2 linked regions of the Neurospora crassa OR74A genome follow. The protein of the gene in region 2 interacts with the protein of the main gene of each other region in a pairwise test. Links are inferred from orthologs where the notes say so. Each region holds a gene or a part of one and is shown on either strand. Other genes may lie near its edges.

Evidence for each region.
Region 1: the proteins of NCU00725 (region 2) and NCU03130 interact in a two-hybrid assay, tested with the Saccharomyces cerevisiae proteins (2 studies listed by BioGRID). The link is inferred for Neurospora crassa OR74A from reciprocal best matches to the Saccharomyces cerevisiae genes ENT3 and YOR111W.

Annotation. Positions count from the first base shown.
Region 1 is NC_026501.1:4,659,222-4,675,334, reverse strand, and holds NCU03130 (hypothetical protein), read right to left. Parts: upstream 9,230-16,113; 5' UTR 9,161-9,229; coding exon 8,963-9,160; intron 8,907-8,962; coding exon 8,232-8,906; 3' UTR 8,049-8,231; downstream 1-8,048. Other genes in the region: NCU03133 (hypothetical protein), read left to right, coding at 1-73; NCU03132 (hypothetical protein), read right to left, coding at 493-509, 588-2,766; NCU03131 (FAD dependent oxidoreductase superfamily protein), read left to right, coding at 6,586-6,767, 6,849-7,986; NCU03129 (threonyl-tRNA synthetase), read right to left, coding at 9,712-11,205; NCU03128 (hypothetical protein), read left to right, coding at 12,389-14,272; NCU03127 (urease Ure), read left to right, coding at 14,890-14,910, 15,194-15,280, 15,355-16,113. UniProt on the Saccharomyces cerevisiae protein: Nucleoside triphosphate pyrophosphatase that hydrolyzes dTTP and UTP. Can also hydrolyze the modified nucleotides 5-methyl-UTP (m(5)UTP) and pseudo-UTP. Has weak activity with CTP.
Region 2 is NC_026501.1:7,400,099-7,417,014, reverse strand, and holds NCU00725 (epsin-3), read right to left. Parts: upstream 10,403-16,916; 5' UTR 10,178-10,402; coding exon 10,096-10,177; intron 10,020-10,095; coding exon 9,988-10,019; intron 9,882-9,987; coding exon 9,802-9,881; intron 9,734-9,801; coding exon 8,362-9,733; 3' UTR 8,066-8,361; downstream 1-8,065. Other genes in the region: NCU16442 (hypothetical protein), read right to left, coding at 1-453; NCU00723 (Znf1p), read left to right, coding at 1,398-1,549, 1,612-2,374; NCU00724 (hypothetical protein), read right to left, coding at 4,703-4,818, 4,913-5,992, 6,107-6,881, 6,938-7,024; csr-1 (peptidyl-prolyl cis-trans isomerase), read left to right, coding at 11,684-11,823, 11,918-11,985, 12,256-12,425, 12,492-12,785; NCU00727 (hypothetical protein), read right to left, coding at 13,185-14,175, 14,251-14,492; NCU00728 (hypothetical protein), read right to left, coding at 15,658-16,916. UniProt on the Saccharomyces cerevisiae protein: Involved in the recruitment of clathrin to the Golgi network and endosomes to form clathrin coated vesicles. Plays a role in the trafficking of clathrin between the Golgi network and endosomes.

The sequences.
Region 1 (16,113 bases), about 2.7 Mb from region 2:
GGCCAAGACACGGACGTCTGGCGGCATCACAAAATCCGGCAGGAGGATCAAGGTCAAGGAGAGAAAAAGGTGACGGACTCAACAGAAGGTTTCCGTTTTTTTTCCCCTCTCTCTCGGTTCCCTTATCTTACTGTTGGGCTATTTCTTCCTGTTTCCGATTTTTCACTGGGTTCAATTTTTTTCAAGGAGCGAATTGACGACATCAACACAAATAGTCCCTTCTGAGGGTTTCATTCAAATCCGTCTATAAAGACAGCTAGGTAGCTCCCATAGCTACTGCTGTTTGTACGGTTGATGATGATGATGCAAAATACCAACCACAATAATACCCGACCCATCATCAAAACGCCTGCAAAAATTATACACCTTTTCATGAGCTCCATCAGCATGATTTTTCTCTGGACCTCCAGCTGTCAGTTTCATTGTGTCCTTGTTGGGGTATTGCCAAGTTGCTTGGGTTGCTATCATCCTTTTCTGATTCAGGATATAATTTCAGCGTGCTCCCTTTCCTACACCAATGCATATCTCGTTAGTCAAACCCGTCTCATCATGGCAAGGGGCACTTCTTCGGGAGATCCTGCACTTACCGCATCCTTTTATGAGCAGCATAAACACCTTAAACACCAATGTCGCACACCAGATAATCGCCTTAAAAGCAAACTTCAAGACGGCAATAAGCCCCCTTGTGCAACCCGGCATCTTCTCGTTCTTGGCCTTCATATCCGCATTCACCTGTGCCTCGATATCGAGCTCAAACTGCTCGACCCGGGTCTTGATCCCCTTGACCAAGTCCTTCTCCCTCTTCTTCCTCTTCTTCTTATCATCCTTATTGCCGTTCTTCTCATCCGAGGTATTCCTTCTCAGCACAGACGACAAGGACTCCGCCAAGCTCGACCTCTGGCTTCCTCCAACGCCGGCACCACCACCACCACCAGCACCCCGCAACAACGACGGTGGCGGCTCAAAAGTCTCCACGCGCGTAAACTGCTCATCAGCATGCGCCACCAGCACCAGTGCAGCAATGGCCACATCGATCAGGTACACTGCCTCGACATGGCTCGCAATCGCCGTATCAATCTCCAGCCATCCCTGGCCCGTCCCATCCCGCGTCAGCCGGCCCAGGTGGTTGGGCGACTCGATGTGCTCGAGCGTGTACTCGGTGCGGCTATAGGCCGCGTTGCGCTCGACCGTGATGCAGAATGGCATCGCCAGGGCCGCGTGCACCAGGTAGTGGTTGCCCGAATCCGAGTCCCATACCAGCCGGCCGCACTCATTCTCGGCTGCCGCCACCGTCGCCGCGTCGGTCGTGGCCCGGTCCGACACCAGGCGCGCCGCTGTGAGGGGCCATAGCTGTGCGACTAACCCGTCGTTGGGCGGCTGCTTGCGCGTGGCGGCCTCGAGGGTGGTGGAGATTACTTCTTGCCAGTGCTTCGCGTCGTGTTTCTTGGTCTTGGTGCTCTTGCTGCTGGCGCCGCCCAACGCCCCGCCGGAGCCGTTTGGGTTGCGGGAGAAGACGGATGAAGGACGGGGGGAGGGCGTGCTGGACGAGGCGCGGGCGCTCGGAATAGGCGAGGAGGACGCCGAAGAGGTGGAGGAAGAAGCAGAAGAGGCCACGGCCGAGGCGGCGGAGATTCCCACCGCCGCGCTGGTGGACTTGTCACCCTTGAAGGTCTTGTTGGGGTCGTAGCGCGAGAGCGAGACCAGGGCGGACGCAGAGGTCGGGTCGACCCGCAGGCAGTAGAAGGGCTGATTGGAGGATGAGGAGAGCGTGTAGACGGGCGCGTAGGCGTCCGACGCCATTTTCAGGCAGTATTTCCGGCCTTCGAGCTGCGTGGCTCGCCATCCGTTGGCGGCTTTCCAAAGACCACGAAGTTCCTCGGTGGTGTTCACCGTCGGTATCACTGGCGGCTCATGGCTGCGCGTTACAGGCCACCGTTGGTTGGCGGATCCAGAGGTCACGGACGGGTTGGCTACCGGCCGATTTCTGGGATGACTGGGACCATTTGTACCAGCATTGGTGCCAACTTCACTTTGCTGATCGGTGTCACGGGCTGAGTACATGGGTCTGCTGATGGCGGACTGGGGAATATGTGTAGGACTGGCCTGGGTAGGGTAGTAGTCCTGACGATCTAGGGGCAGTTCGGGGTTATATCGTGGGAATATCGATCGAATGGCAGCTGGCTGTGGTGGTTGTGGTGGTTGTGGTGGTTGTGGTGGTTGTGGTGGTTGTGGTGGTTCGGGGATGGAGGTAGGAGCTGCTACCGTTGCTGTGTTCAAAGGTCCAGGAGTATATGCAATCGGTGGGTTGGCGAACGAGCTTTGAGCTCCCCTACTTTGCTGCCCGACCAGCGTCTCTGCCTCGGACAGTGTCGTCTCACAGCGTGGAGGCGCGTCTGCTTCAGAGATGGGCGCAGCAACACTGGTTTCGACGATTGGATCCGATGACATGTTCTCAACTAGTGGTGGTCGCTGCGGTTGCTCCTGAGGTTGCTCTCGATGTTCCCGCTGCTGTCGAGCCGAGTCTAGCGCTGACTGCCAAGGGTTGTTGGAGTTTGAAGCCGACCTTTGCTTCCCTTCCCGTAGTACTACCCGTCCAATTGGCGATTGCCTTCCTGCCTCCCGGGACGATGATGGTTCTGTTGATGTCGAAGGTCGACCTTGAGGTGTCGCAGCTCTCGACGGCCTTGAAGGTGGTCTTGGTGTGACGTTGGTGTTGGGGAAGAGAGAGAACCCGCCTCCTGCCTGAGTTGTTGTCGTTGTTGACATATCTGATAGTGCGATCCTAATGATTCAACGGAGGTTATTCCAGGCGTAGTAGTGGTCGTTATTCGTAGGAATCGTCGATCTTCTTTCCTCTTCGTCTTCGTTGAACTCAATGACCGACCCACGAAAGGTCAATAGAGGTATCACAAGGAAATGGCAGTCGACCTGCTACCGAGACATGATCGCAGATCAAATAAAACGAATAAATCAAACCCAAGGATCTGTCAACAGATATCCGGACGATGGCATCAAACGGCTCCCGGGAGCAGAGAGCAGGGACAGGACCGGCGAGGCGGGAATAAGGTTGATAGAAGAACCAATCCGTCGGAACACGACAAGAAGATCTTGTCATCGGCACAGGAAGACTGGGCCCCCTCAATACATATTTGTTCTACCATGTGGTCTTGCCCTGCCGTGGGTGTCCGCAATCATACGCCTTACACAGTGCTCTTCCCGCTCTCGCTCCCAAGCTACACGCATTCTCTTAGACCCGGGCGAACTAGGGCTCACAGACCGGCATAAAGACCGACGCTACCACCCAAGAAAAGGTCACTGATCAGGGTGGAGGAAGAGCAGCAGCGCCGAGGAGGTGCAGCTCATTGCTGTGTGGTCTGCCCTGGCTGGCCCCATCCCTTCCGAGTGCGTGAGATCCTTCCAATCGCGATGTATTCTAAGCGCTTGGTTCCTGGCTTTCGATGTGGGCAACGACTCCAACGGGACGGGGGGGGGGCACCGTGGACTGAGAAGAGACCAGTGGTGGGAGTGGTTGTTGAACTTCCACTTGCGTTGGGTGGGCAGACAGGAGAGCTGTGTGAGTGGTCGGAAGCAACTGTACGGCGGGAAACTAGGTGAAAGATAGAAAGGAATAGCCGCCCAAAATAGCTGCTAGGATCAGTTCTGATCCATTCTGGGGAGTTGCCTGGGGTTACTGGGGTGGTGAGACCCTCTTGGACCCCTGGCTCCGATGAGACGGACTTGGGGGTGAGTGACCAATCAGCGACCGGATCACGCTGCATCTAGACGCCCTTTGTCAAAGTCGCATCGGGCAGCACTTGAGCGAGCAGCGACATCACATTTCACAAGAGTGTGTACCGTCCTCTGGCTGGCGGAAGTGGTTTCCATATCGACAACCTTTTCCAATGCCGCCAAGAAAGTTTGGTCTTTTCTTCACTGCGCTGACTGCCCGCTCTTTGCGTACCTCTACGCGCAGTTGCATTCCTGTCTCGGCCGTCATCCTGATTGAGTTCTTTCGTAGGAAGTCTTGGCATTTACTACATCTGGCAGTCGTTGATTGCTGTGAAAGTGTCATGCTTTGGACGATGCGGCAAGGTACTGATGGTGTCTTCATCTACGGTTAAGATGATTAAGATGATGAAGATCAGGTCCAGGCTCTGGTATACAGATGCAAGTGTGTCATCAAATCATACTACTTGCTCCCGTCCCGAGGGTATGTGACCCGACAATGTCACTTGGGTTGCTGTTCAACATAGTCAAATTTCAGTGATCTCCGCCCCAAAACCTCCTCGGCGCGATTCAGCTATCGCAGACACATGTGGCGGCTGTCTGATTGCGATCACGACTTATCAGCTGCCGATAGGGTCGTTGAAGCGCAATTTTGCCCTCGTGTTACCTATAACTAATGTACTAATGGATGGCCATCAGGAACGGCCGCCGCGTTGACAAGGTCGCTTCAGGTGGCCGCCTTTGCCGCCACGAACGGAATAACCGCGTTATCGCTGTCGAATGGGTACGGTGATAAAGACCATTTTCATTTCCGAGCGGCGTTGTGCAAATCAAGGAATATCCGTCCCGTGGAATGATGACCCTTTGTACATCGGCCGAGGGCTGGATAAGCTCACAGTCTGCACAGAAAACCCCCTTTTTTGCTTCTACACTCCTGGGCTGATTTCCAAGGTGAGACGGATCCTTACAAAAGTTCAACTAGGTTTCTCCGGTTCTGTATAAACCCAAAGGCTATTCTCAAGTACATATCGATGAACACGAGCTCCGTGGGCGGCTTGATCAATTCCGTCCTGGATTTAGTTCTCCTTCGCCGGTACGGAGATCCACGGAGACAGACGAGATGCGTCGCTCTTTACCGGGAACGAGAATCACCTGCGAGTCATAAGCGGCTGTTACTCGTCTTTTTTTTTTTTTTTTTTTTTTTTTTTTCATCACATACATAGATCCGCGCCGTTACTCTCCCCCCCCCCCCCCCCCCCCCGCACAAGTCAATGAGGCAACCTCATGAATTTCTATTATGGTACCGGCACGAGAGACTCCCGGATACAGTTACATCTGTTAGTTTCGCGATGTCGTGCGTGGGCACCATGCACAACTTCTTCATGGGTTGCGGTGAGCTGTTGTTGCCTACCTACCGATTCGTTTGCATGGGTGGATAGAAGAAGGAGTAGAAGAAGAAAAAACATGCTTCTATACATATCTTGACCATCCTTCCATTCTCTATCCTCGCAGTCCCGTCTTTGGAATTCGCGAACGAAGATCCACTCAGCGTGGGCATAGTGTACGGTTTTGGGGTGTGAGTTTTGACACTGATTTGAATGCAAGATCTTTGATGCGACATTCCACGAATATTTTCCCACTCTGTTGGATCTCAAAGCGAATGTACATAGTTGGCTGATTGCATGGACTGCTTGGTAGTTGCTGACTGAGCTTCTCTTTATTTAGGTCGTAGACTGGACTAGTTGCCTGACGCAAACTGTTTGACCATTTGTTCAAGTGAGAAGAAATTTGGTAAAGAGTAAATCGAGAATTTACGTTGGATTCTGAGAGAATAACTGAACCAAAAGAATGAAGAGTTCAAAAGACGTTGCCATGATTAGCCCTTATTTTACTATTATAGTCGCAGACGGGTGACCTAGTATAAAAGAGCGATGAACGATCTTGAGGTCTTATATCTTCCAGATTTTCCATTGGAGATACATGATGTCTACCTGTGGCATTCCAGACATGATTGTCTCCCCTCTTCCCCTTCTCTCTCCCTTTTCTTTTTCGCAGAACTTAGAAGAAACAGCAACCCTTTCCAGTCGCCTCCGGGGTCGATTTTCGGAGAACTGCCAATCCTTTGGTACAGTTCGGCCCAAAGTGGGGAATTCCGGGCGGTCTTCGAGCCGGCACGGGGCAGCCGCGCTCTTAGACCGGACTTTGTCCGTCAGGCTACCTCTATAAACAATCTAGTGCTGGTTTGTTTGTTAGCTCGGTAACTATCTCGGTACACTGGACGAGATCAATTTTGATTTCGAATATTCCCATACCGTGAAGTTGGATGAGTAGCTAGGTAGGAACCGGAAAGGCATTAGAGAAGATCCACAACGGTACCTATCTAAACTTCCGGAAGAAGCATATTCACAACCCCAATCTCACTTTAATCGAAGATTACAACGAATCGGCCAGAAATGACAACGCTCAGGGAAGTTAACCTGAGATCTTGAGCTAAGACACAAACCCGTATCGAACTGTACATACCTCTATGGACGGCTGACCGCACCGCATTCCTTCCATTTCCGGAATGCTTCCCGAGTCTGCCTTTAATGGTCATTCCACGTTTTCTAGCTCCTCTTGGCGTCGTGTGCCTGATTCTAATCGTGCTCTGCATATATGTGTGCGGCTTATCGTCCCATGAGCGACACGGTTGATTATCGTTGGCGATGATTGCGAAGACGGAGCCTTGTGTTGATATCAACCGTTGACGTATCTGAATAGTATAAAAGGTCCCCAAGAATCCTTGTTATTTTTGATATTGGCAATACCTTCACGACTTACAAGACTCAAGCATCGTCGTGTGAATTAGTCAATCCACTGATGCATTTGAGGTTTCCAACCACCACGACATATTCCCTCAGACCTTCTTCTACTCGAACCTCGCCGCCTCCTCTGATTGTGAGCTTCGCCCCAAGACATTCAATAGTGTCCTACACCACGAGTCCACGGAGATTATTTAGCATCATCATGTCTGAACCCAAGGGGCACGTCGTCGTTATCGGGTTAGTATGACATCTGATGCATCATGAATAGCAAATCATTGCTCTGCCCTGGATAATCTAACATGACTCCCAAAATCCAAGCGCCGGCGTAATCGGCCTGTCCTCCGCCCTCGCCCTCCTCGAAGCCAACTACGCCACCACCATCCTCGCCAAAGACCTTCCTGCCCCCTTTGAATCCATCGATCCCCGATCCCAAATCAACTTCACCTCCCCCTGGGGCGGCGCCCACAACCGCTGGGTGCCCCCCTTCCCACCCTCCTCCTCCTCCTCCTCTACTCCTTTAACCCCCACCCAACAAGCCGAGCACGCCCTCCGCATCCGCGAACACGCCTTTTCCCTCTCCACCTTCCACCGCATGCAACTTTTCCAGAGCCAGGGCCAGGACCAACAGGCGGGCATCACCTTCCTCAAGGGAATCGAATACCTCGAATCTCCGGGGCCCGAGTACACCTCCCTGACCCCTCAGCGGGCGTCACAAGAGCTAGGACTACCCGGCCACTTTCGCGTGCTGGAGACTCACGAGTTCCCCGATGACAAGGTTCAATGGGGCTGCGAGTACGACACGTGGTGCGTGAATCCGATGCAATACTGCTTGTTCCTTTTGGGGCAGATCATTGCCAGGGGCGGGAAGGTGTTTAAGCGGGACGTGCGTTCTGTTGCGGAAGTGTTCCAGTTATTCTCCGACTCGGTCCAAGAATTCGGAGCGACAATCCCCCCAGCGGACGCGGTGGTGAACGCCACCGGCATCGGATTAGGTGACGACGAGATGGTGTTCCCCACGCGGGGACAGACGTGCTTGGTCCAGGAACCGTGCGATGCGACGGTGACGAGACAGAATGCGGATGGGACCTGGACGTTTTGTGTACCCAGAGGGTTCAAGGCGGGCACCATTATCGGCGGCACCAAGGAGCCAGATAATTGGGATCCGAAGCCGGATCCGGAGGTAAGGGAGAGGTTGTTGAGGGCGTTTGAGGGGACGTATCCGAGGATATTGGCAGATGGGAAGACGCGGTTGACGCCGGTGAGGGATATCGTGGGGAGGAGGCCGACGAGGAAAGGGGGGTTGAGGCTGGAGGGGGAGGTGGTGGATGGGGCTGGTTTCGTGATGCATGCCTATGGGTTGGGAGGGAGAGGGTATGAGTTGTCTTGGGGTGTGGCGGAGGGTGTGATTGAGGGCATTCAGGGGCATCTTGAGAGCGAGAAGGGTTCGAGGTTGTAGACCCACGGCTCGATGTATAAGTCAACATATGCCATGAAATTGAGTTTTCACTTCACAGACTTCTTGCTGAAAGGGCATTCTAGTCCCATCATTATTCTTGTCTATCGTATGTTGACGTTCTAAGCTCTGTATGGGCACCTGGCCCTTCATTCCGTCACCCCCGGTCAATTAGTTAGTAGAACTACCGTGGCCAGGGCTCCCGTCCCTGTGTTTATCGGCAGCTTCAACCAGTTGGTACCCCTGCATCAGTCTTGATAGGGTTCTTCATCATCATCCTCCTCATCGCTGCCAATATCGTCATCTTCGATGCCCTGCTTGAAGATCACCTTCTCTGCCAACTGCAAGGTTTTCCTAACCGGCAACCCAACAACATTGTCCACGCTACCCTCAATCTTGTCAATCAGCACCATACCTCCGATTCCCTGGATGGCATAGCCGCCAGCCTTATCCGCACCCTCGCGCGTCTTGACGTAGGCCTCAATTACGTCATCGGGCAGTCCGTCACGAGCCTGCGCAAAGTAAACCTCGGTGTCTTCCACGTGCGTCTCTAGCTCATATCCCGGATGGGCTGCGTTGTCCTTTGGGGCGAGCACGCACACAGCCGTCAGCACACGGTGCACACGCGTGTCGCGAAGGTGTTTCAGCATGCGGATGTGGTCCTGCTCGTCGCGCGGCTTCTCGAGGATCCGACCGGAGCGTGTAGCGATGACGGTGTCGGCGGAGATGACAAGGGCTGGATCGGCAGGCCTCTCTACGTTCTTGTTCTGCTCGTCTTCTTCTTGTTGCCTGAGGGCCTGCTCGTACACGTGCAGGATTTTGCGGCGGGCCGTCTCGGCAACATATTCTTCGGGAGTAATCTTGCCCTTTTCGACGTCTTCGGGCTTGTCTGATGGGAATATTTCGACGTCGTGCAAGCCAAGCTGTTTGGTAAACTTGTTAGACTTGAGTAGACCGTAGTATAAAGATGATGACTTACCTGGTTGAGGAGAGCTTTTCGTCGAGGCGATGCCGACGCCAAAATCACCCTCTTGGTACGTAGATGATCAAGGATGGGAAGCTGAAGGGGCATAGGGCCCCGTTTGATGGGGGCGCTCTGCCGGAGTGGTATTCCATGCCGGCGGGCTGCGGCGATGTAAGCCGGTGGGTTCTCGGGTTCAGGAGCAGTGGGATCCATGGCTGGTTATCTGCTTGGGTTATAGGAAAGTAACTAGGACGATGTTTTGCCAAAAGTTGTAGGTAGAGGTAGCAACCTCAATGTAATGGGATAGGAGTTGGAACGGGTATGGTGCCCCTGGCAGCGGTGGAGAGCTCCCGGTCCCGTTGGTGCCGGTGGGGGAGGGGCTCAGGGCCGCTGTTCCCTAGCGCTGCTTCAAGTGCTGGGGGGACTGGAAGGTGCCCGGCGATCGTCTTGTGTCAAGGAACCGCAGGAAGCTCTGGAAGTGGTGCACGACAGGGGAGATAACAAAAGCCAACTGGAGGAAGAAATGGTAGCCCCACTTCACTTTCCCATGTACATACACTAGCGGCGGCACTGCGTCATCGCCGGCACTTGCTCAACGTGCTGTGATCAGCCTTGTCTGACCGGCACTACAAAGCAAAACAAGCAAGTCACAATTTTTGAGATATTGGACGGATTGCACGACTGAGAATACCGAGAGACAAAGTAGGAGACCTCGTACGACGCGGAGACAAAGTGGTAGCTTACGCAGAACGGCAGGCAATCGTTCATTCGTATGCATCTACCTTGGTCTTCATGAATTGCAGCAGCTCCTCAGGCGTCATGACGAGGTTCTTCTGCGCCGGCTTGTCGCCTGTCTGAAGACCGCCGGTAGCATCAACCGTGACAGTGCCATTGGCAATATCCTTGGGGCCAACCACGATGATCATACCATAACCCTTGGTCTTGGCCTCGCGAATCTTGAGCGACAGACTGCGCGCACTGTCATCGAGGTCGACAGCAAGGCCCGACGGGGATACGTGAACATCTGCAGAGTCTGTACCCAGCAGCACCTTCTGCGTATTGCGCGCGAATTGTAACACCGGCTCACTGTCGTTTACTGTGAGGACAATGCCCTGTCTGGGGTTCAGCCAAAATGGCCATTTGCCATTATAGTGCTCAATCAGCAAAGCGAACATGCGCTCCGCCGAGCCTAGGACAGCCCGGTGGATCATAACAGGTCTCACGGGTCCGGAGACAGCAAGGAGCTCGGGGTCCGTAGTTGTCTCACCCTTGGCCTCCAGTTCGGGAGCTGGCGCCTGATACTCGAGCTCGAACCGCTTGGGCAGCTGGAAGTCGAGCTGGATGGTGGCCGTCTGATGTTCCTTTCCGTCCGAGTCCTTGAGGATTACATCGATCTTGGGCCCGTAAAAGGCACCATCTCCCTCGTTCAAGGTCCATGGCTCTCCCGAATTGTCCAGCGCTCGTTTCAAGGATCCTTCTGCATGCTCCCAATCCTCCAGACTACCGATATGGTTTTCGGGTCTCGTGGAAAGCTTCAAACGATACGATCCCAGGCGGAAGTCCTTGTATACGCGTCGAATGAATTCGAGGGTCTTGCTGATTTCGTCCTCGATCTGATTCGGTCGACAGAAAATATGGCCGTCGTCTTGGTGAAATCTGCGAACACGGGTAAGGCCACTCAATGCGCCCGAAATTTCGTTACGGTGGAGGGGGCTAAAGTCGGCGTAGCGAATGGGGAGGTCGCGATAGCTCCGTTTTTGCGCCGCGAATATCAGACAATGGCCAGGGCAGTTCATGGGTTTGAGTCCGTACTCGTCGGCTTCGCCGGCCTCGGTAACATCGGCGCGCGAGGGGGATGTGCTCGTGACGGTAAACATGTCGTCGGCGTAGTTCTCGAGATGGCCCGACTTGGCCCAGAGCGCCTTCTTGTAGATGGTCGGGGTAATGACTTCCTGAAAGCCATAGTGAACGTATTGCTTGCGGAGGTATTCGACAAGACGGTTGAAGATGCGGGCGCCATTGGGCAGGAAGATGGGCGATCCAGGGCTGTAGATCGAGGTCATGAACAGCTCCTGTTGTGTTCCGAGATCGCGATGGTCGGGCGCTGCTGGCTTCGTGGGGACGGGGTTCGCGCTGGCGCAAGACGAGCACAGCCGATGGCGCACCTGGACTTGGGAGATGGCAGGACGAGCGAGCGGTACCCTAGCTCGGGTCAAAAGAGCCCGCGAAGTCCATCTTGTAAGCCGTGGAGAGAGCATCCTCCCGTCGCCTCTCCACACTGTCAGGATGTGCGGTCGTCGTTAAGAGGTGTTGGAATTGGGTGTGATCACGGGAAACCCGACTTTTCCAGACAGAATGGCGGCTGGCTTCTTTGTCGCGCTTGTCTTGGCGACAGCGATCGGCTCATCCCATGTGCCCCTGCCGCTGCAAGGGGTCCCCGCCCTGGGTGGGAGCTTCCATTGTGGACACCACTGCACTGGGCCAGCCCTCCAACCTCAACCCCGGGCAGCTCGGGGCCGTTTACCGTCAACACACCTCAGTGGGGCACCTGTCTGCCGGGCGGGGGCAGGTGACTTGGGGTGATAGGTACCTACCTTTATATGTAAGTGAGACACGCGGTGCTGGCCGTCGTGAATCGTGATTCTTCTCGACGTCACTCACCACTTCAATGTTCACCGAGTCACCGTCCTGCCTGCTGCTCTCTGTGACCGACCGAAGTCGACGATACAAAGCAAGGTCACCAGAACTCTTTCTTTCTTCACATCATCCCGTCCTGTGACAGGATACTTATGCGCTGCGGCACATACACACACTGTAGCAGCGTGCATCGGTACCTTACACCACCTTGACTTGACGTTTGGTTGCCTTCTCCCTCCTCTTCTCCGCCTACCCTACAGTTTAACCTTCACCTAGTCCATTTCCGTCGCATTCCAGTTGCTTGGTTTAACGACATCTCACTCAGCCTCATCTCTCCAGGGCTATTTGCTGGACTATCAAAGAACATACCCATCTCCCCTGTTCTTCTATACATCCTGTACCCGCAGAACAGTTACCTCTGATCTCACGCGCCTCAGCTGATAGTTCCGTTTTCACCACTTATCCCCGTGTATCGGTGCCTTATCGTGACTCCTCTACACGGTATTAGCCTATGCGCCCCTTGCTTTTGAGCGACTTGAAGCCTGGAGTCGACTTCGCGGTAAACAAAGAACCAGTTATCAGTTGCCATTAAGAATTGGCCGAGTCCCCCCGCTGTCAACAATCAAATCAAACCAGGACACCTACAAGAAGCACTGTTGCCTAAGTGCACACACACCAACCAACAATCCCGACGTCTTGGATCTTTACGCTCCATGTTATCGCGATCCCATCTCTATAAAACCTTGACTTCGCAACTTTCATCATAGCTTCCCCACGAGCTCATTCCATGGTGTTTATGTAACCATGTCGGGACGTCAACCACCAGGGCAGCCGCCCAATGTATCGAGTTCGTGGCGCATGGTCGAGGGAGGCGAGAATGATAGCTTCGACACCTCATTGATGCCCGACGACTATGATGGCAACGATATGATCCTGTCCAGCCAAAGCGATCACTCGCATATAGAGGGGAGCCAGCCCTTCAGTTTGGACGGATCTCAGCCATTCAGTATAGGAGGGTCACAGGACGAGAGTCTCGAGAGTTTCCTACACAGAGCCGAGGACGACGATCAAGTCATCATGAGAACTCCCTTCCGGCCTTCAATTCCACAATCTGTCCGGCACGCTTCTCGCGAAAACATGAGACACCGGATCCAGCCATCACCACAGGAGTTTTACATGCCCATGGTCGATGTAGATAGCAGACTTGTCGACAGCCGACGATCCAGTGCACGGTCGTCCATGACAGTGCGACAGTTTCCGCCTTCGCTGCCTGGTCTACGCCACCGACAAACACATCGTTCCGGCCGTCACCCATCAACAGACTTCCGTAAGGATCATCATTCGTCAGGGGAGGAGACCGAAGTCAATGCGGATATTGAGGAGAGGGTCGAAGAAATGAGGAGGTCTAGACTTGGGACATCAAAACGACAACAGGCGCCAGAGATTCAGGGGTTTTTTGACCGATTTTTCGACTCGGTACCGGATGCCGTTTTCAACACTTTTTCTTGGGCCTTGGGAGTCGTTGGCCTTGCGTTCAAATATGCGCAAAAACCCATCGCCATTCTGGCAGCTGTGTATCTCATCTTTGGACTCCTTTCGATGGTCCAGAACATGGCGACATTATCCCTCTATACGGCCTTATCACCAGTATGTCGTGTACCAGGCGCAAAATGGCTCAACCTGCCATTCTGTCTCGATATGTCCGCGAAAACAAACACGCACATCCAGTTCGACCCTGTGATAGAGATTCAGGATCGCTTTGAGGGGGTTCTAGAAAAAGCTGCCGAAAGTGCTTCGCTGCCTTTGGAGATGAAGCGCTCCGAGCTAGCCATCCGTGACCTGCGTACCATGGTTCGCTACAGCCAGCTTCACGGCAAAGAACAACTGATACTTGAATTTGACGGGTACATCGACGCCGCTAGCTCGGCAACTTGGGATCTTCAAAGGTTCAACACCCGCGTGGGATCAACAATAGATTCCATAATCAGCGTCAACCGATGGACATCTCGGTACATCGATGAACTATCAGATGACATGAAGCACCGCGGCATCTTGGGCGAGTGGTGGGACTGGGTCTTCTCCCCCTTTCAGCCATCCACCTACACGGAGCGCAAGCTTCTGGACCAGTACATCGACCACACGATCCGCGTCTCGGACAAAATTGCCAACCTGATAAGGGAAGCGCAAGCCGTCCTGATTACGTTGCAGAGGGCGGAAGACCACCTCGAAGTCATATACGATTTCGTGACTAGAACTCAGGAACACATACAGGCAAAGAAGGAGGAGGTCTTTTGGGAATTGTGGACCTACATCGGCATCAAATCCGAGAACCGCAAGAGCTACAACAACCAGCTGGCGCTGCTTAGGAAGGTTGAGGACCAGCGCTCGGAAGCCGTGAAACAGGTCAGCGAACTCATTGTTGAGCTGCAGAACATTCAGGTCAGCCTGAACGGGCTAAGAGACCGGGTTGGAGAGCCGGAGGTGGCGAGGGATGCTGGTCTTGAGATACCGCTATATGTACATGTCGAAACTATTGATAGGGGAGTTGAAAGGCTGGAATCGGCGAGGAATAAGATAAGGGATGTCGAGAATGAGCGTGTGCGGGAGGCGTTGGCTAGGGGGAAAGAGGAGTTGCCGGAGTTGGAGGCAAAGGCGTACAATAGACGTATTCCTGGTCTTGGTTGGTAGACAATGTCAAGGTCGCAAATGGCAGGTTACATATGTTGGAGCAGGATGAGAGTATTCCTCGAAGCGTTCTACATGTACTTTCATATCTCAGGGGTAGTTTGGGAGTCGGGGGAGTTTGGAGTTCAAATTTCACACATTAGCTTGCTGTATAGATGAGTTTCTTGGAAACAAAATCCAAGGAGGAAATTCGCATACGCAATATCCTCAATCCATCATGTTACTCGTGGTACAGATGGTGTTTTGCTTTTTCTTTGTCAGTGCAAGTGTGACTACCCCTATCATCGTTGCTGGTGCCCTTTGGAGTTGTAAACAACGAAAAGGTTACATGTACTGAGCTGTTACAAACAATATCCGCCTTATCAGTAAAAGTGTGCGGGGTACAGCAATCTCTGGGACAACATCCCACCGCAGTCGGTGTCTTTTACCGCGGCCGCATCTAGAACGTTGGATGGAAGCGGACTGATAAGCAGCTGGTACAGAACCACGCGGGGGTTAAAACTACTAGCAGTCCTCGATGTTAGTGTCATTGGGGCAGAGGACGTCACTGTTCTCTTTTTCCTGACCTCGTTTATTGTCGAACTTGGATCGAAACTCTCGTCAACATCGACAGGAACAAGATGCATCTGATTCCCAAAGAGGTTAGTGGTAGTTGTTTTGTTGTGTGCCCCCGTTGATCCTTCACATCTGCGTTTTACAAGGAGACCAAGACACCTCAGATCACGGTTCAAACAAACGAAGGAGTTACGGACATCGATCAACATTGTGTGTATAAAAGCGCAAGATGGCACTGTTTTACCCTGTGTGACTAGGCTGGACTCTATCCGGAGTGTGACGACTTCATAAGAAGGATTCATCCCAAATAGCAGCAAGTCCGCATCACTAACCTATTGACAAAATCGTGTCTTGCTTTCCCCTTGACAGCTCGATAAGCTCGCCATCTCTCAGCTAGGATTCCTAGCTCAAAGACGTCTAGCAAGAGGTATAAAACTGAACCATTCCGAAGCCACTGTAAGTTTCTCTCTTCCAGATCCTTTTCCTCCTCACTTTCGCCTCACTATAACACAACCCACTCACCAACCCAGGCGCTCATCGCCAACAACCTCCAAGAGCTCATACGCGATGGCAACCACACCGTTGCCGACCTCATGGCACTGGGCGCCACCATGCTCGGCCGCCGCCACGTCTTGCCCGAAGTGACCTCGACCCTGCACGAGATTCAAGTCGAGGGCACTTTCCCTTCCGGAACGTACCTGGTCACCGTGCACAACCCCATCAGCAGCGACGACGGTGACCTCGCTCGCGCCCTGTACGGCAGCTTCCTGCCGATCCCGCCCAATGACGACTCCGTTTTTCCCTTGCCTCCTGCCGCCGCCTACGAAGCCAGCAAGCAGCCCGGCGCCGTGGTTTGCGTCAAGGAGGCCAAGGTCAAGTTGAACGAGGGCCGGAAACGCATCCGTCTTCGTGTGACCAGCAAGGGAGACCGTCCGATTCAAGTCGGTAGCCACTACCACTTCATCGAGACGAATCCGCAGCTGGAGTTCGACAGGGCGCGGGCGTACGGGTATCGGCTGGACATTCCCGCCGGCACTTCCGTGCGGTTCGAGCCCGGCGACACCAAGACGGTCACGCTGGTGGAGATTGGCGGCAACAAGGTCATCAGGGGCGGCAACAACCTGGCCTCAGGCAAGCTTGACTTGACAAGGGCGGAAGAGATCATTGCCAAGTTGCAGAAGGCCGGGTTTGCCCACGCGCCGGAGGAGCCGGTGGGCGATGCGGCGGCATTCATCAGCGAGCCGTTTACCATGGACCGGAGGGCGTACGCGGTCATGTTTGGCCCGACG
Region 2 (16,916 bases):
CCGGTCCAGGACGCACTTGACAGCGGGATCGTCGCGTGGTAGTCCAGCTGAGCTCGACGTGCGGTCTTGCGTTTGTTGTTGACGGCCATGTTTGGTTACCACCGATGGTTTGAACATGGGTTCGGCTGTGTAGAGGAGTGAGGAGATCTCGGAGGGTGTTATGAGGTTGTGGATGTAAATAATCAAAGGGTCCAGAGAGACGAGCTCAATCTTGTATGAACAGGATACATCGCAGAAGAAGGGCTGTCGGGGTTTTTCTGTACAAGTTGCTGTATTCCGGAAAAGTTTCAGGGGTTTTGCGAGAGGGTGGTCAGGTACTGGAAGGCCGCTGATGATGAAGGTGAGTGATGAGATCTGGGAAAAAGTCTCGGACAGGTATGGTGCACTCAAGGCAACCAAGACTGTCCAAGCCACGACTAAACCAGCAGCTTTCGTCAAACCTAAGCCAGACATGCTGAATTATGCTTTTTCGCGTAAGGAGCTAGCTTGTCAATCAGGGAGTGAAAGAAGGATGAAGGGGCCAGAAAGATTGATATTGATGGATTCAACCACCAAATCAACCCCGGTCTATTCGTCAGTGAGGGACACAATCGCTTTTATTCTCTGCGCATAGTCCTGTGTTCCTCCTCCCGTCATGAATGATAGCGGAATTGGATCCAGACCTCACTGGCCCGGAAGACGTTGCCGAGAATCTAAACTCGGGGAGAGATCTTAAAGAGCACCGAGATGGTGGTGACGGGCAACCAAACATGGTTCGATGTGGCTGCTGAGTACCCGACCATAGTCGTCGTGACCGCTATCCCCAATCTTGCACACATCTTGGCTCATTTTGGGCAGAGCGGAAGTTTTGACGCCGACGTGCATGCGGAGGTGCTCGTTTTGGTAGTCCGACCTTCATCTATGGAGTTGTGGTTCTTAGTTTGGAACCGTGGGTGAATGAAAATGTTACGTCAACGTGAGCGAATGGTGGGATTGACGATCCAGCGAAATCCGGGGCCCGTATAAGTGCCGTCCGTTGAAGACACCAAACCGCTAAACTGTTAGCGGGGAAGGTACCTGAATACTTGCCTGGTGGTTGCCTACTAAGCGAGCATACTGTGTATACCGCTGTGAATCAGCTGACCTGGCGCTTTAACGTGCATCGGGCATCCGCTGTCGTGACAGGTCAACAACCAAGGGACGGGAGCTATCTGCACGGGGACCTTGATGGCCTTCGCCACTGCATCCTGTTTTCCCTCCTCCCGTCGTTATCATCAATCCGGCAGCGGACACTCTGTCACCCTTTCCATCTCCTCCTACATCTTGGATTGTTTCTTTTGGATAAGGGACAATTGGAAGTATCCCACCACGGCTCTTTCCCTTCTTCGGCAATATCACCATCTCCCCAGATCGCAGCAATGGGCATAGGCAACACGGCCACCTCGAGCAGAAAGCGGAAGCAAGTCGATGATGAACCAACTGTTTCAGATACCAAACAAGTAGCTACATCCTCAAAGAAGTCCAAGAAGGACGAGTTGGCCCTGGTCACAGACGAGAAGCGACTACGCAGGTACGCACACCCACCCAATGCGCATGTTTTCTCTCTGTGACTGCTAGCTGACCCCAACCCAGATTCCGTGACAAAGCACCCCAAGCATTTGCTGTCATCTACGAACGAGCCACAACTCAACGCTTTTTTGTCCTCTCGCGTAAACGCATACCCGTATGGGACAGCTTGGAAGGCTTCGAAGAGGAGGTGGAAATTGCAGGTTCGACAGGCAATATCTACACCGTGACAATTGCCCGACAGCCGACATGCACCTGCCCCATGGGTGAGAAGAACGAGCAGTGCAAGCACATCATTTACGTACTGGCCCGAGTACTGCGTGCCAAGTACGAATATGTCTACCAACTGGCACTGCTAAGCTGCGAGCTCCAAGACATCTTTAGCAATGCCCCTCCGATCGTGGAAGGGGACGGTGACAGTCTCACAACAGGCGAAGGAGACAAGAGGAGGAAGCCGATTGAAGGGGATTGCCCCATCTGTTTCAACGAGATGGAGGTACTCAAGCCCGAGGAAATTGTTTGGTGCCGGGCGGCATGCGGCCAGAACGTTCACAAGGAGTGCTTCGAGATGTGGGCGGCTACAAAACGGAAGCAGGCTGGTGGATCCAAGGCCGACGTCACTTGCCCGTACTGCAGGAGTGTCTGGGAAGGCGATGATGACTTGATCAAGATGATCAAGAAGGGGAGGCCAACCTCGGAAGGATACGTGAATGTTGCTGACCAGTTGGGGATTAGCCAAGTACGAGATACCAGCACGTACTATTATGGGGGGTCACGGTCAGGGTACTACAACTATGGCAATAGGAGCAGACGGTACCGGCATTATTGAGGAAGTGCCAGCTTGGGTTTTAGGCAGGAAGAGAGTGTTGGCTGTCTGGCTGGCCGATATGCCGCCCAAACACCCCGCCTGCTTGATTTTTGTACCAGTCCGGCTACAGGACACTCGCGAGGCCCGGGAGAGCAACGCGAAGTCCGTTCTGCGTTTGATGAGATTTCTTTTTTTTTTCTTTTTTTTTTTTCTTCTTTTCTATGACCGCCTTGAATGCAAATTATCCCCGCGCTGTATCAGTATACGACAGTCACGTATTCAACACACAACATAACGCAGCATATGAAATTATCAGCATTCCTCAATTTCACCCAACACTTCACTACAGCATGATGTAGGAGAGCCCGGTTCTCAAGGCCGCACCATGGTATGGAGCCTCACCTACGACTCCTCAGAATATGCTCACACTAACTGGCCCCATCAGTTCTTCCCGATAAAGTCCTTCATTCGCACAGTCAGGCTAACGATGCGCGCCGCATCGGTTACTTTCTCTTTTATTATCTTCGCAATAACCAGCGTACTGGATTTCGCTTGTCGTGAGGACACCGCCTATCACCAAGCTGTCGACTACGTCCTCCAAGCATTCCTCAATATGGATTTGGACACATTCGAACTCACTTACGTGGACACTGACGCCAACCTTGACGTCGGCCTTGGGTTCTACCTTCTAGTATCCGTCACCGTTGCCGTGTTTGGGAGCATTCTTTTCTATTTGGCACGGTGGAAGTTTGGAGACCCGGGAATTCAAGAAGAACTGCGTGGCTGCCCAAATCTGCCTTCTCTTTTCAGAGGTGTCCACACCAGGTTCTTGAGACGAGGGTTTATCGGTTGAATGTAATGGAAGTCGGCCAGATGGAAGGTTTGTTATTCCTCCACCCGATCTTCAATTCCGGTCTTGGTTAAAGAGAGGCTGTGATGGGCTAAAAGGCGGACCGTGTTGTCCCATGGGGCCGTCTATGGCTATCAGCATGCCTTCACCCCAATTCACCATTGCGGAAGAATACAGAACGAATCGAACGAGATGGCTGGATGTTGGATTAGGCATTGGGATATGACAGCGGATTGGTGTTTTTTAACGGATGCAGCATTGAGCAACAGATTACATGAAGTATAGGTACGTACCGATCAATCATAGTCCTGATTACCTTTGAGCAGCAAGCCGCTACTATGGTAGCCAACAACAAAATATCATCAGAAATCAATGCTAATCAGCGAAACCCAGCGACATACTATAAGTATCACAGCCTTTTTCACAAAAAGAGCAAATGTACACAACGCCGAAACGACGCCGAGAAAGGTGCCGAAAGACAACGAAGACACCATCACTCGTTTTGCTTCCACTCTTTTCAGCCTGGAATTGACCGCGTAAGAGTGTTTAGGTACTGTCCGGACAATTCTCTCGTAGAAATCAACGCTGGGGCATAACCACTTCATTACAAACAGAGAAAAAGATGTACGCGATGGAGCAAAAAGAACATTGACAGAAGTTTTACTTGCCTTACTACGGAAGGGCTTCTCAACAATCAAGAGGTCCAGTCCCTGCCATCAGCGGGCCGTCACCAACTGATTTTCCTCGAGTTTCTAAAAGAGCGCACGGAGGGTGGTGCCCTGGGCAGTTATCGTATAGCTCTCGGTGCACTGACTGACTGACATTTTAATACCGACCGAGAGCTCGTATCTAATCCGTGACTCTACCTCTGCCTACGTAGCGTTGAGACTTTAGCTGAATACACTAGTTTAATGCAGAACAAGTAACCCATCCTTGTCACGAGGTCAAGGCAAAAGGTGATACTCCTTACCTGTCTCAACTTGTCTTCGTTGTGTACCAGCCATGCTGCTCTGATTGACTTTTTTTTTTTTTCCAATCACGAGAGGGTAGAAAATACATTTAGCAAGTCATAGCCGTGACTTAGGTGAAATTCTTCGAGCCCGTTGTCAAATGGAAATGATGGAAAGAGCGGGAGGGATAATCAGGAGCTGGGTGACATATTACTGTATTAGGGTTCACAGGAAAAGGATCGCAATACAGTACATTGGCAAAGGATAATACTACTACCATCAGTAGTATAGATCAATTAAAAAAGGTCGAAGTGCATCGGAGGTTGGAACGAGTCGGTGGCGAAATGGGCGATAAGTTGGACTCACGACGTTGTTGAAAGCTGATTTGGGCACGTAGGAACCTGGAAGAGGGGGAGGGTGAAGAGGGGAGGAATTCACAGGTCAAGGCAGTGGAGATATGGTGATGGGAAAAAAAATCCGTACGATGAAGGCCATGTATTAGTGAACAAAGAGCATGCATGCGCTGAGCTTTTCACTCTCTCTGTTTGTCTACCTCCAGATCATCAGTGCCCTATTTCTAAACCATATCCCACGGGTGACCTCCTCTCCCATGCTCCGACCGCAGTTCAAGTTCATAGCCATCCCGCTGGCAAGTTCCATCATTCCTAATATCATTACCATCAATACCATTCAACCACGCTCCAATAGTCGAGAACAACCTGGTTGACCTAGCTTTGAAAACGCCGCCACGATGCTTACTACTTGTATCGCACTGCTCATCATCATTATCATCATCGCGTCGTCCATGTACTGAACCTAAACCAACACCCCAGACAGCAGCAGGCCATCGTGTACTCCTTGCCCCTCTAGCCTCTCCAGCAGCCCTTCTTCCCGCGCTCTGTGTCTGTTCTACTTCTTGTTGTTTCGATCGTTGCCCCCACTCCCATTCCCACACTTGTTGTTTTCTCTCTGTCCGCCCATCTAGCTGTGTCCCCGGTGCCCTCCTACCCGGCGATACAGCAGGTACAGGTAAAATAGGAATCTCATTCAACTCAATAACCGCATCCCCATGCCCATGCCACCCGTCCATGTGCACAATGGCACTCCCAACCTCCTCCTTCTCCTCATTTATGCCCTCCAACTTATTCAAGGTTTCTTGGTCCACCAGTCGCAAAGTCGTCCTTGGTCTCGGCGGTAGGCTGTACTTCAACTCGATGGCGCCTAGAGAAGAGCGAGGTGGAGGGTCTAGACCAACGGGCGAGGGAAGGTCACGGTGGTTGAACCGGGTGTCGTCGTAGTTGGAGGGGCTGGAGTCGACGGAGGAGGTGTAGGAGTCGTGTTGTCTGCGTGTTTGCGTCTGTGATCGGGTTCGTGCTTGGGTTGGGTGGATTTGGGTGGTTTTTGAGTTGTGGTTGGAGGTGTAGATGTTGGGTTTGACCGTCGACACCGGATCAGGATCGGGACCGGAATGGGGATGGTGGATCGGGCTGGACGGAATGTCGGAGCTGGACGGTAGGAATATGATCCCGGAGGGGCGTTGTTTTTTCCACTTCCTGTGTGTTTGCTCTTGTGGATTGTACCGGTTGGTGTTGGTGAAAGGTGTTGCCCGGCTGTCATTATCGGGTACGGCGCCGGGGCCGGGGCCGGGGCCGGAAGGCTTCCTCGGTTGAGCGAAGTGGGCATACAGGTCTCGGTAATAAGGAGCATCAGCCAAATCAATGGATGCCGATGATCGGCCTTCCAACTGGTCCAGAGCGTCACTGCGCGCTTGGAGAACGGTAATGGAAACTGGCTTGGGTGGTGGTTCGGTGACAAGTTCCCGATTGTTTGCAAGTCCTTCTGCTCGGCAGTGTTGTTGCTGGCTCTGGTTGGGACTCTGCTGCTCCCCTGGTCCTGCTGCTCCTTCCCGACTTGACGATGTCCATGCGCCCCCACCCCCGCCGCGTCCCTAACTGCGGTTGTAGGTGTTGATCAGGTCGCTCCCTCTTTGGAGCACTGGGTTGCCAAGTGAGCGTCCTGAAGTCGCTTCGTGGTCGGAACCGGAACCAAGCGAGCTGTCGACTCTTGGGGAGCAGTCGTACCGGCTTGAGCCCGTACCGAGTCTACTTGTCGTGTCGACCCGATATGGGTTTCCAGATACTGTGTCCGCTTGGTGGTAGGTACCACCGCCGCTCCTGCCTTCGCCATGAGCTACGTTCCCGGAATCTAGACTCCGTTTTCTGACGTGCATATTCGGCCGTGGCCGGAACTGCTGCTCGGCTCCAGAAACAACCTCCTCCAATCCCGCCACAGAGATCTCGGACGGACGGCGATGATAGTCGATGTCACCCACCGGACCACTCATTGCCCTTGCGCACAATAGTGCTTTGTTGAACTGCGTCTCCTCAGACGCGATAACCCCGACCGAGGCAGCGCTTAGGACGAATGACGCGCAGTCAACCAGCATAAGGACCCAGAAAAGATAGATTTTCGTGCATGACACACGATCGTTTGGTTCGCTAGAGAAATTCAGGACCCCCAATGGGCCGGCTCGGAGGACAAAGCCACCCTCTGCTTTGACTCGAGGGCACTTTGTACCGCCATCGTGCATGGGAAGGCCGAGGAGGACCGAGAAAACACCAAAGGCAATGAGGAAAATTAGGTCGGTGACGATAGTGACTTTGTAGGGAAAGTGGCGACGGGAGTAGCCGGACAGGGAGAAGAGGCACCAGAGGAGTGAAGCAGATGTCTGTAGATTTCGTTAGCGTCTCAAGGGTTAGAAAGAAACAAAGGAGTTGAACATACCAGGATCATGAGAGCCACGAGGCTTGTGGCTGGTGATTCACCTGCTTTAGTCATGTTACCAAGCAAGCTGCCAGCTATCCCGGCCATGGTGGAAAGCGCTATAATCAATAAGAAACGGGAAAAAAGAAAGACATAGCTATAGAAGCATTGGGGAGTAAGGGACTCAAAGTTCCGGATAGGCGTCGTGCCAGGGGAAGAGGAGCCCATGTTGATCTCACGGGCTTGAAAAGTCCCCAAAAGAAATGTCGTCAGTGAGTGTAGAGAGATTATAGTCAAAGAGCAATAATCCTTGATATGCGGTTCCCGTTCCTGACGGGCTATCAATCATGTAGGTCAGTTTGTAAAGAAATTGACTTGAATTAATATGGCACGCATCCAGGCGGCTGCATTATTTATGTCGCAGAATGGGAAACTCGAGGGAAAGAATTGGACCAGAAAAAAATAAGTAGAGCGTCTGCATGGTAGAGAGAATTAAATAGATGTTGAGCACGGTTCCAAGATCAAAGCCACTGATCTGTGATTTTTCCGTGTTGCTCACGGCAACAGACGTTTCGACGCATTGGCCATGAGTGTGCGCTTTGGTGCTCGTAGTCATTAATCATTTTGGTGGTAATGACTGATCGACTGTTGAGGTTGTGATCGGTGGGTCGAGGGTGTTCGAGGCTGGCCTTGCGCCGTCATACCGAGCCGAGGGCGAGTGCGGAGGCTTGAGTCACTGGACACATACTTTGCGATCCATGAACTCACTATTGGATGAAGTATTCTAGCTCATGTTGATGGACTGCATGTTGGGATGATGCTCCAGCCTTACGGTTGTTCAAACCATTCGAGGAGGCTGATATGCCAGAAAAATAAAGACAGACGGAAAAGGGGGGGGGGGGGGGGGGGGGGGGGGGGGGTTGAGGGGGTTCACCAGTTCATAACGGGCCAGAAGTGAAGCCAATAAAGAAGGCAAGGAGCTTCAGTGGTAAAAGTTCCATCAAACGAACATCAGGGATGGAAGCTATGCGAATTCCACAAGATAAAACAACAGATCGACCGCAACATCGGGTTACTTGACCATGAGCGACTCAACAGCCGGCTTGGGTCTTCTGGAATTGTGAAGGTGAGGATGAGTGTATACGGGGACTTAAGTTACGGATCAGTTCACTCTTTGAGGGACTCGCACGCGGAAACAAAACGTGACAAACACAAAGAAGCCGAATGCAGCATAAATAGACGTGAAATTTTGTTGCAGACGAGAGGCGCTGCAAGATACCCACCCCTACCTCCAATAACATTACGTGGAATATAAATCGTTTAACTGCTCATCTCCTCTTTGTGTAACTGCACACCCTTGATCTACTCCAAGGATCCCGCTTCCGTAAGTAGACGACAGCGGTTCTAAATACTCCTTGGAAAACTCCTCACACCCAGTCAGGTAATTAACCGAGCAGATCGTCCAACCCGTGGTTGCCGCCAGTGGTGGGCCTGCTACCGCTGGTCGGAGTGGAGGGCGCAGGAGTTCCCCAAATACCAGCACTACTCTTCTCTTTGGCCAGTTGTCCGATAGCCGGACCCTTGGTGGTAGGCGTGCTCTTCTTGATTCCAGCACTAGCCTGCGACCACAGCGCACCGAAGGCGTCACCGCCAGCGGCTGGCTTGGAGGCAGCTGAACCGGTTGCCTTGGTTCCTGAAAGCGAGGACCCGGTGGACTGGGTCTGCAGCTGTACCGGGGAAAAGTAGTTTGGCTGACCGGCTTGGAAGCCAGTTGGCTTGGGAGCCTGGGAGACGGGCGAAAGGGGCGTGGAGAAAGCCGAGAAGTTGGCAGCAGGAGTCGCCGTGGAGCTGGGAGGAGGAGAGATGGAGGAGAGGGCAACCATGCCGCTAAGGTTGGCCTGCTGAGGCGCCGAAACTGGTTGCGGGGCAACAAACTGTGTGCCAGTAGAGAGGGGGGCGATTGGGGGAGAAATTGCAGAAGCAGGCTGCGTGGCGGGGGCTGCAGACTGGAAATCATCGAACTCGTCGTCGTCGTCTTTGGCGCCGCCGGCTAGAGCCGCAAGCCCAGAGCCGTTGGAAGGTGCGGCAGCGAGGGGCGCGGTCGGGATGGATGGCGCTGCGGGCTCGTCGAAGGAAAACAAGTCGATCTCGGGCTCCTTTTTCTTGGGCGGCTCGGCGGGTGCTGTTGTTTTCTTGACCCCGGCTCTTTCTGTCGTGGATCGTGGTGTCCTTGGCGCGGTACGAGACGACGCCTCAGCGTCCAAATCACCTGCATCGTATTCCTCAAACTGCTCTGCCCGTGCCTGGGTCCCGCGGTAGTCGTTGTTGGAAGGCTGGCCACCAAAAACACCTCCGTCGCCATAAACTCCTCCAGAATAGCCACCGTAGGTAGAGCTGCTACCACCGCCACCACTGCTGCTACCGCCATACGAAGTGTTGCCGAAACCGCCATAACGTCCGCTGCTCCCGCTGGAGAAGCTCATTCCACCCGAAATGCCCGTGAACTTGCCCTTGTTTGCGCGGGCCTTCTTGCGCTCTGCTCGGATACGCTCGACATCGCTGAGGAGCTCGGCGAGTTCCTTGGCGCGGTTGCGGACGTTGATACCCTGGTCTTTGCCGTTCTGGTCGATAAAATGGAACTGGCGCAGCATCTTGAGGAGGGTAAGATGCGACCGAGCATCGTCCACCACTCGTTCGGAACCGTGCTTAATCAGGTACTCTAGTAGTTGAAGGGCCTTGTAGATCTGGCGCCATTCTTCGGCGGACTTTTCTGTGAAACGGCGGTAAATCATGGGCATGATTTCGTTGAGTGTTTGGCTAAGAACAAGGAGGGAAACGCAAGTTAGCCGCGTTCGTATACAAGCGAGCAGTTCTCGAGAACGTACTAGTTGAAGGTGCCATCGGCGATCTCTTGCATCAAAGTCGACGATGCACCCCAAGGTTCATTGTTGGTGGCCTCGCGCACCTGGGTTCGCTGTCAGCTCCCGTTCCATGGTCTCTTGTCTGGGATCAAGTATATGGCGAAGGGCGCAAGAGAATGGTGCCAGTGTGGCGCGTGGATACGGGCATACCTTGGACTCCATCTCGGTATAGTTCATGACAGCTGGTTGGAGCCATTGTCAGCACCCTGAACACGAAATCATGAGGGAGTCTTGGTTCTGGACTAGGTGGTCACCTACCATTTTGAACCTTTCGTACGCCAGCCTTGATGTCGTAGAGTGTCAGGTTGGACACGGTATCCTTGAGGCTATTGAAATCCATTGCGTAAACGTGTCTATCGCCGGAGTTGCTGGGAATTGTTCTGATGGGCTAAGGTAATTCTTCTCTAGATCCAATCTGAGCCTCGCGGTGATGATTGCCAGACGGGCGGGATGCTGTGGCGACTTGGTGGTTTTTGTTCGGGCTGATCGCTTTCAGGGCGACGTTTCACGGTCTTGTCGGGATCAGATGGACATTGAGGTGGCCTAGCGTCAGGGTGCCGCTGAGCGCTGACCTCAACTGACGCCGTCCAAGGCCGACCCCTGCGCTTGACCCAACACCCTGACACCAAGAAGCCAGTGGAACCCAGGAGGTCTGCCAAGACTTTGAAAGCTTGGCACGAGCGTCTCAGCTCTTTGAAGCCTGAGTTTTCAGGCAAGAATTCTGCTTGTAATTGCCGGGCCGGCCGACAACGCGGGGCGGCGGGAGGGGACGCTCGGCCGCCGGAGCTCGCTTCCATGCATTTTGGATGGAGTAAAAATTGTTAAACACCCGACCCGACTCCGTTCTCCCTCTCGTCTCAGGTCTTTGTTGTGCATCCATCGCCGTGTAGCAGATTTCCATCGTTCGTTTGTTCGGACTTTACCTTGTACTTTTAGCTTCATTATCATCCTACAATCATCCAGGATTTCATCTTCCACAACCGGTACGTTATCATTTTTACTTTTGTTGCCATGTTCTTCTTGAGCCTTTTCTGTCTAGAGGAGCTCTCCCTGCCGGCTGGGAGCTTGCCCAAAGCTCCAAGCTCTATCTGTGGCAGAGCTCTGAGAGCTTCCATTCCCGGGATTTCTTGGCATCAGATTCAATTCGAATGTCCTTTTTTCCATCCACGCTCGAGATGAGGGGTGAGGTTTGTTAGTTTGACAATACCACCACCGCCTTTTGGTCCCTACCCCAGACATGGCCATCAAGGTCGTTAATGCCGTCCATCCCTCTTGTTCGGCTTGGGGTATCGTCCATGGCTCCGCAATGTCGTCAATGGCTGCATTGACAGAGGGGGACTCCAAATGAAAGAGGCAATCGCAACGCTATGAAGACCCAACAAGCCATATGATGGAGCCATGGGTCTACGGTCCTTTGGCCCGGATGTCTTTGGATAGCTCTTGCCAGCGCTTTAGCTGCCAACTATACACACACGGGTGGTGGCAGTTTTGATTGTCATTGCCGTCAGCGTCAGGGCCGACGGGACCTTGGAGACTCGGGGGGGAAGCGCCAACACCAGATGGCAGCTGTTTACTTGTTCGTACTGGTGTTCCTGAGCCAACGAACCAATCCGAAGCCCACATGCGCCAAAGATGACACTTGCAGAGGCTCATACCACTCCACGTTGTCAAGCTGACCTGCTGTTTCGTCGTCTCCCGCCGCACTGGCAAACGAGACCGAAACAGGCGGCGTGGCGACAGGCCGACAGCTCGAGTCGCAACAATCAATCACGTGGCGAGCAGCTACGTACCTTCTCCGCCCCCCACTTCTCGGATTGGCTGACCCCTCCTTTCCATTTTAGTGAAAATGTTTGGACCCCGCCATTTCTCTGTCCTTAAGACAACAGGTTCTCTCGTCTCCTCGACTTTCTCGTCATCTCTCAAGCCCACTGCAACTTTCTCCTGCGCCAGAGCTTTTTCGCAAACATCCAGCATCATGTCCAAGGTGTAAGTCCAGCCGCTTCTCCAGGTCCGCGCAAACATGGGAGCTGCGCCTACCTACCCGTAGCTTCAGGGACACCGACTGACCTGCATGCTTTAGTTTCTTCGATCTCGAGTGGGAGGGTCCCGTCCTCGGCCCCAACAACAAGCCCACCAGCGAAATCAAGGGTAAGTCTACTCTCCTCATCTGCTTTGTCTTCATCAATCAGGCTCAGGAAACTTGCGACGGTCGCTGGGACTTCACCTGGACGTCTGTCGTTGTTCGCAATGAGCACGGCGTCGTCCCGGTGTTGCCGCAGCCCGCAAGCTCCTGAACTACCCCTCCATACCGGTGCCCCTGAATCATAACGCCCGCACCACTCAGCCTCACCGCCCTCCCCCCGGCCCCGCCCGTCAACTGTCATGTCATGCCCATCGGATGTCTAACTCCCAATGCAGCTCAGTCTGGCCGCATTAACTTCACCCTCTACGACGACGTTGTCCCCAAGACCGCCCGCAACTTCAAGGAGCTCTGCACTGGCCAGAACGGCTTCGGCTACAAGGGCTCTTCTTTCCACCGCATTATCCCCGAGTTCATGCTCCAGGGTGGTGACTTCACCCGTGGTAACGTAAGTCCATGTCCGCCCAACAAGCTATCGAACATGGGAAAATAAAGACCTAACCTCTCTGAACAGGGCACTGGTGGCAAGTCCATCTACGGCGAGAAGTTCGCCGATGAGAACTTCGCCAAGAAGCACGTCCGCCCTGGTCTTCTCTCCATGGCCAACGCCGGCCCCAACACCAACGGCTCCCAGTTCTTCGTCACCACTGTCCCCACCAGCTGGCTCGATGGCCGCCACGTCGTCTTCGGCGAGGTCGCTGACGATGAGTCCATGAAGGTCGTCAAGGCCCTTGAGGCTACTGGCTCCAGCAGCGGTGCTATTCGTTACTCCAAGAAGCCCACCATTGTCGACTGCGGCGCTCTCTAAATTCCCTTGTGGACATTGTCGAGGGTTTTAGGGATTGGAGTCGCGGTACCATAATATTCATATGAATGTGCTGCTATAATATCTAGATAGCCCATCAAAATGGATTTCCTGCGCTGCACACCCACCCTTCTTCACTGCATCGTCATCACTGTCGCTTTGATGGTTGATGTGATTACGCAAACTGATGGTTGATGAGATCACGTAAACTGATGTCTTTTCCTAGACAGTTTGCAGGTCATGTGAATGTTATCGCCAACACATTGAATGCTAAACAGATTACCTCCAACGCCTAGATGAAACCAAATTACCCTTGCCTTCTTTTTTTTTACGCCGTTAATGCAGTTGTGATAGAGACCATGCAACGTCTTCTAAACGGAGACACAAACACATTCGAGTCGATCAGATCGAAATGACTTGTTCCTGTACCTCGTCACCATCCAGCCACCGTCTGAAATAGACGCAGTTGCTGGGGCTGACAGGTCCGCCTTCCTCGCACATATCATAGACAGGGCACCGCCCACAAGGCGCCTCCATAAGGCCACTTGCACTCGGCTCAACTCCCATAAATGAGGTAACAATGCCTCCTTTGGTTGGATCATGGTCGAGGCGTCGTTGATTGCACGTCCTCGGATCCTGTTTGGGGATGCGCGTCACACGGTACCCCTTGCGCCCATTGACCTTGACAGGCTCTACTAAGCCATCGTAGTATAGCACATCCACCAACTGCTGGATATCCGCCTCGCTCAACGTCGTATTATTCGTGATGCCGGCGTGGTGGATGAACTTTGCAATGTCCGACACAGTCGGGTACGACTTGTAACCGGCCGGGAGAGGCAGCAATTGCGGCTTGCCGGGCCTGGTCTTCTTGGCCGGTGCCGGTGCCGCCGTGTCGTCGTTGGAAATCTCGCCCGCGCTGCGCTTCGTCCCCTTGGAAATATCCTCCGAGTGGGGAATGGTCCCCTGAACCACGCCCTTCTTGGGATTCTTTTCACGCTGCTGTGCTCCTCCTCCTTGTGCTCCTACTCCTGGTACTCCAGCACCGCCGCCGTGGGAAGTATATGTCGATTTCTGCTTGATAAAGTCAAACACAATTTCCTGTAGCTCGTTGATGAAGGCCGTGTCGAGCTCGCCCTCAGTAAACCAGGGGCCACCTGTGGCGCGATCGGAGGGACGTAGGTTCGCCTTGATGTACATCTTCTTGTTGGGGTGCTCGACGTTCTTCATGCTGGCGATGTAGCCCTTTTGCTCGAGATACTTGATGCAATGCTTCATAAGCGAGTCGGCCATGTTGAGCTTGTTCTTGATGGTCCGGTTCCAGATGCCGTCGGCCCCGGCTTCGTCGACCATGGCGTATACCATCATTATTTCGGAGTTGGGGAGGGAGGTGTACCTTTTGGGAGGAAGGGGAGGTTAGTTGGTGTGCTCGGTTGTGTCCTAAAAAGAAAAAAGAAAGGTAGTAACGCACTTCTTTGCATCCTCCCGGCTTCGCCATCTCCACGACAGCCCCGATGCCGTGGTGTTGCCGACAAAGAGCTTCTCATCGCAGAGAATTTGGATCACCTGCATGAGCAACCCGATATTGTCTTGGGGGATGACCTGCATGTCCAACAGGTCCCGCTGCGTGAAGAGACGCTGATCGGAACCGTGGTCCCTCGCCGCCTCGTAAAGCGCATCCTTGAGGATCTGGATCTTGTCGCGGTCGGCCATCGTGTGCTGGTGGTGATTAGGAATTTCGTGTGGTGGTTCTGGTGACCGAGACGCAACAATTTGGAAGAAAAAAAGGGACTCGTGACGGGACAAAGACAATGCCCTGGCTGGTTGTGAGCGTCAATGCCCAGTCTGAAATGGGTCTGTTGATTGGATTTAGAGAAGGTGTGGCGTATGGCCAACTGCAGGTCGGTTTGCCAAACCGAGTTGCACTGGTCGATCACGAAATTTCCCAGAAGAAATGCCCCGCCTTTCTCAGCCTTGCATGAAAGAGCAGAATAAAGCGTTTTGTGATTGGTCACTCATGTTATGCCAAGACGGTGACTTCTGCTCAGAGTTCCAGGAAGTTGATTCGTCAGATGTCCTCTTCCCGATAAGTAAAGAGTCATGATCAACATGAAGTAAAACTGCGAGCATTGATGAGCCAAGTCTTGTATTTCTATATCAAATTGTCAAAGTAAATATTCCCTGACTTCTTACGCGTGACGGAATCCGAAGTGTTGCATAATCCACGGAATGCTCGATGTAAGCGTCCTCTTCAGTGGAGCACGTTCCACTTTCTGATCAGCCTTGCGGGACCACGCAGGCCATCCCAGTTTCGCAGGTCTTCTGCAACCTTATCATTTTTCTCATCCTTCAACCTTCCAACCGCCAATTTTCTTTGACAAAGCAACTCTCGCGGATCGAGTCACCACACTACATCGTGTACACGTCATCTAGCTCACCCATTGTCTCCTGCTTGATTTCCCTTTTCCCCCCACCCTAAATCTATCTGCTCATCAAATTCCTTCTGCGAAACTCAACGTGCAACCCGAAGGATATCGATGCCCACAATGGACGATAAATGCATTGACTGAAGGAACTCCTTGCCGCAGTGTATCCCATGATCCAACCACCGACAATCTGGGCTTGACTACCTCTTCATCTTCTTACAACTTTCGCTCATCACAGGATGATACGCCAGGTTGCTTGACGGTGCCTGATTCTCGCACCAAAGGGAATCAACACTGCCATACCTCCGCCCACTATGAGCGCAAATACGCCTGCCGTTGTTCCGAAAGCCTCAACATAACCCACCATCTGGACCCAGATCAAGACCGACGCCGCGAAGAAGAAGCTTACAATATGCTTTGTTCCTATTGACATCGTGCCGTGATTAGCAAGGTTACTCAACCAGGAGGGACTCATGCTGCTTCTTACCATTGACAAGCATAAGAGCATCCGAGTTTAGTGGAAGCAGACAGTCCGAGACATAGGCCATGGTGATGGTCGGCACCGCCGTCAATGCTACCGACATCATACCATATCCAAAGAACAGGCTGACCCAGCCCATTGCCTTTTCAATGCCATATCCGAACACCAAGCAGCCCGAGCCGCTGATGATCAGAGGTACGATGCAGAGCCACAGTCGATTCTCTGGTTCGTAAACGCCATTGTTGCGCCTGGTCTTCCAGTCGCAAAACTTGTCAACCGCCCAGCCGCCCAATACGCTGCCGAAGAGGTTACCAATGAGTCCTGGGATGTTGATCAAACCGTTGACCATGGGCGACCAGTTATACGGCGGTGCCTGAAACACAAAGGGATTTAGGATGTTCACGGCCACCGTCATCTCCAGCGAAATTGCATATGCAAGAAAGGCAAAAATGACGCAAGGATATAACCACAAGGGGAAGGGTCGGATGAACAACCGCCAGAGGGGGGTGTCACGAGAGACTACAGGCCATAGTCCAATCTCTTCTGCCCAGCACTTCTTTGGAAGATTCACACCGGCGTCGCTCTCATCAGTGTCGCCCAGATGTGAACGAGCTCCCTGAGCATTTCCGAACCCGAGCCCCTTTTCCGCATTCGAGCGACTGACTAGCCTTGGAGTCGGTCCTCGACTGGTTCCCGAGTCGAAGTCAACTGCCCTTAGGCTGTAGCGGACATAAGTTGTCTCGGGCACCAGGAAAGCAACCGCCAAGAAGTTGGGGACAGCCAGAATGAAGGTCAGCCACTTATGCCATCTCCAACTGTACTTCGACACGATGAAGCCACAAATGAGTGGACCGATGGTGTTCCCTCCCGAGAGGAAGGTCATATAGGTACTCATCACAGAACCCCGTTCGTGCAAGAAGTACAGGTCGTTTAACATGCTCGCTCCAAGGGTTTCTGTCGACGATCCAGCAAACGCTGCAACGATGAGGGACGATAGTAAGGACTCGAACGTTTCAGCCACGGCTCCCCACATGGAGCACGCGCAGAGCAGCCCGCACGCGAAAAATAACACTGGCCGTTTGCCCCAATAGTTGGCAATGGGTACCCAGAAGAAGTTGGAGGCGCCGAGTGTGAGGACGGGCCATAGCAGCAGGGCGCCGGTCTCTGCTTGTGTCTTTCCGAATTCCAGGGAGAGGAGATAGAAGGCAGGTGTCAAGCCTCCGATGCCGA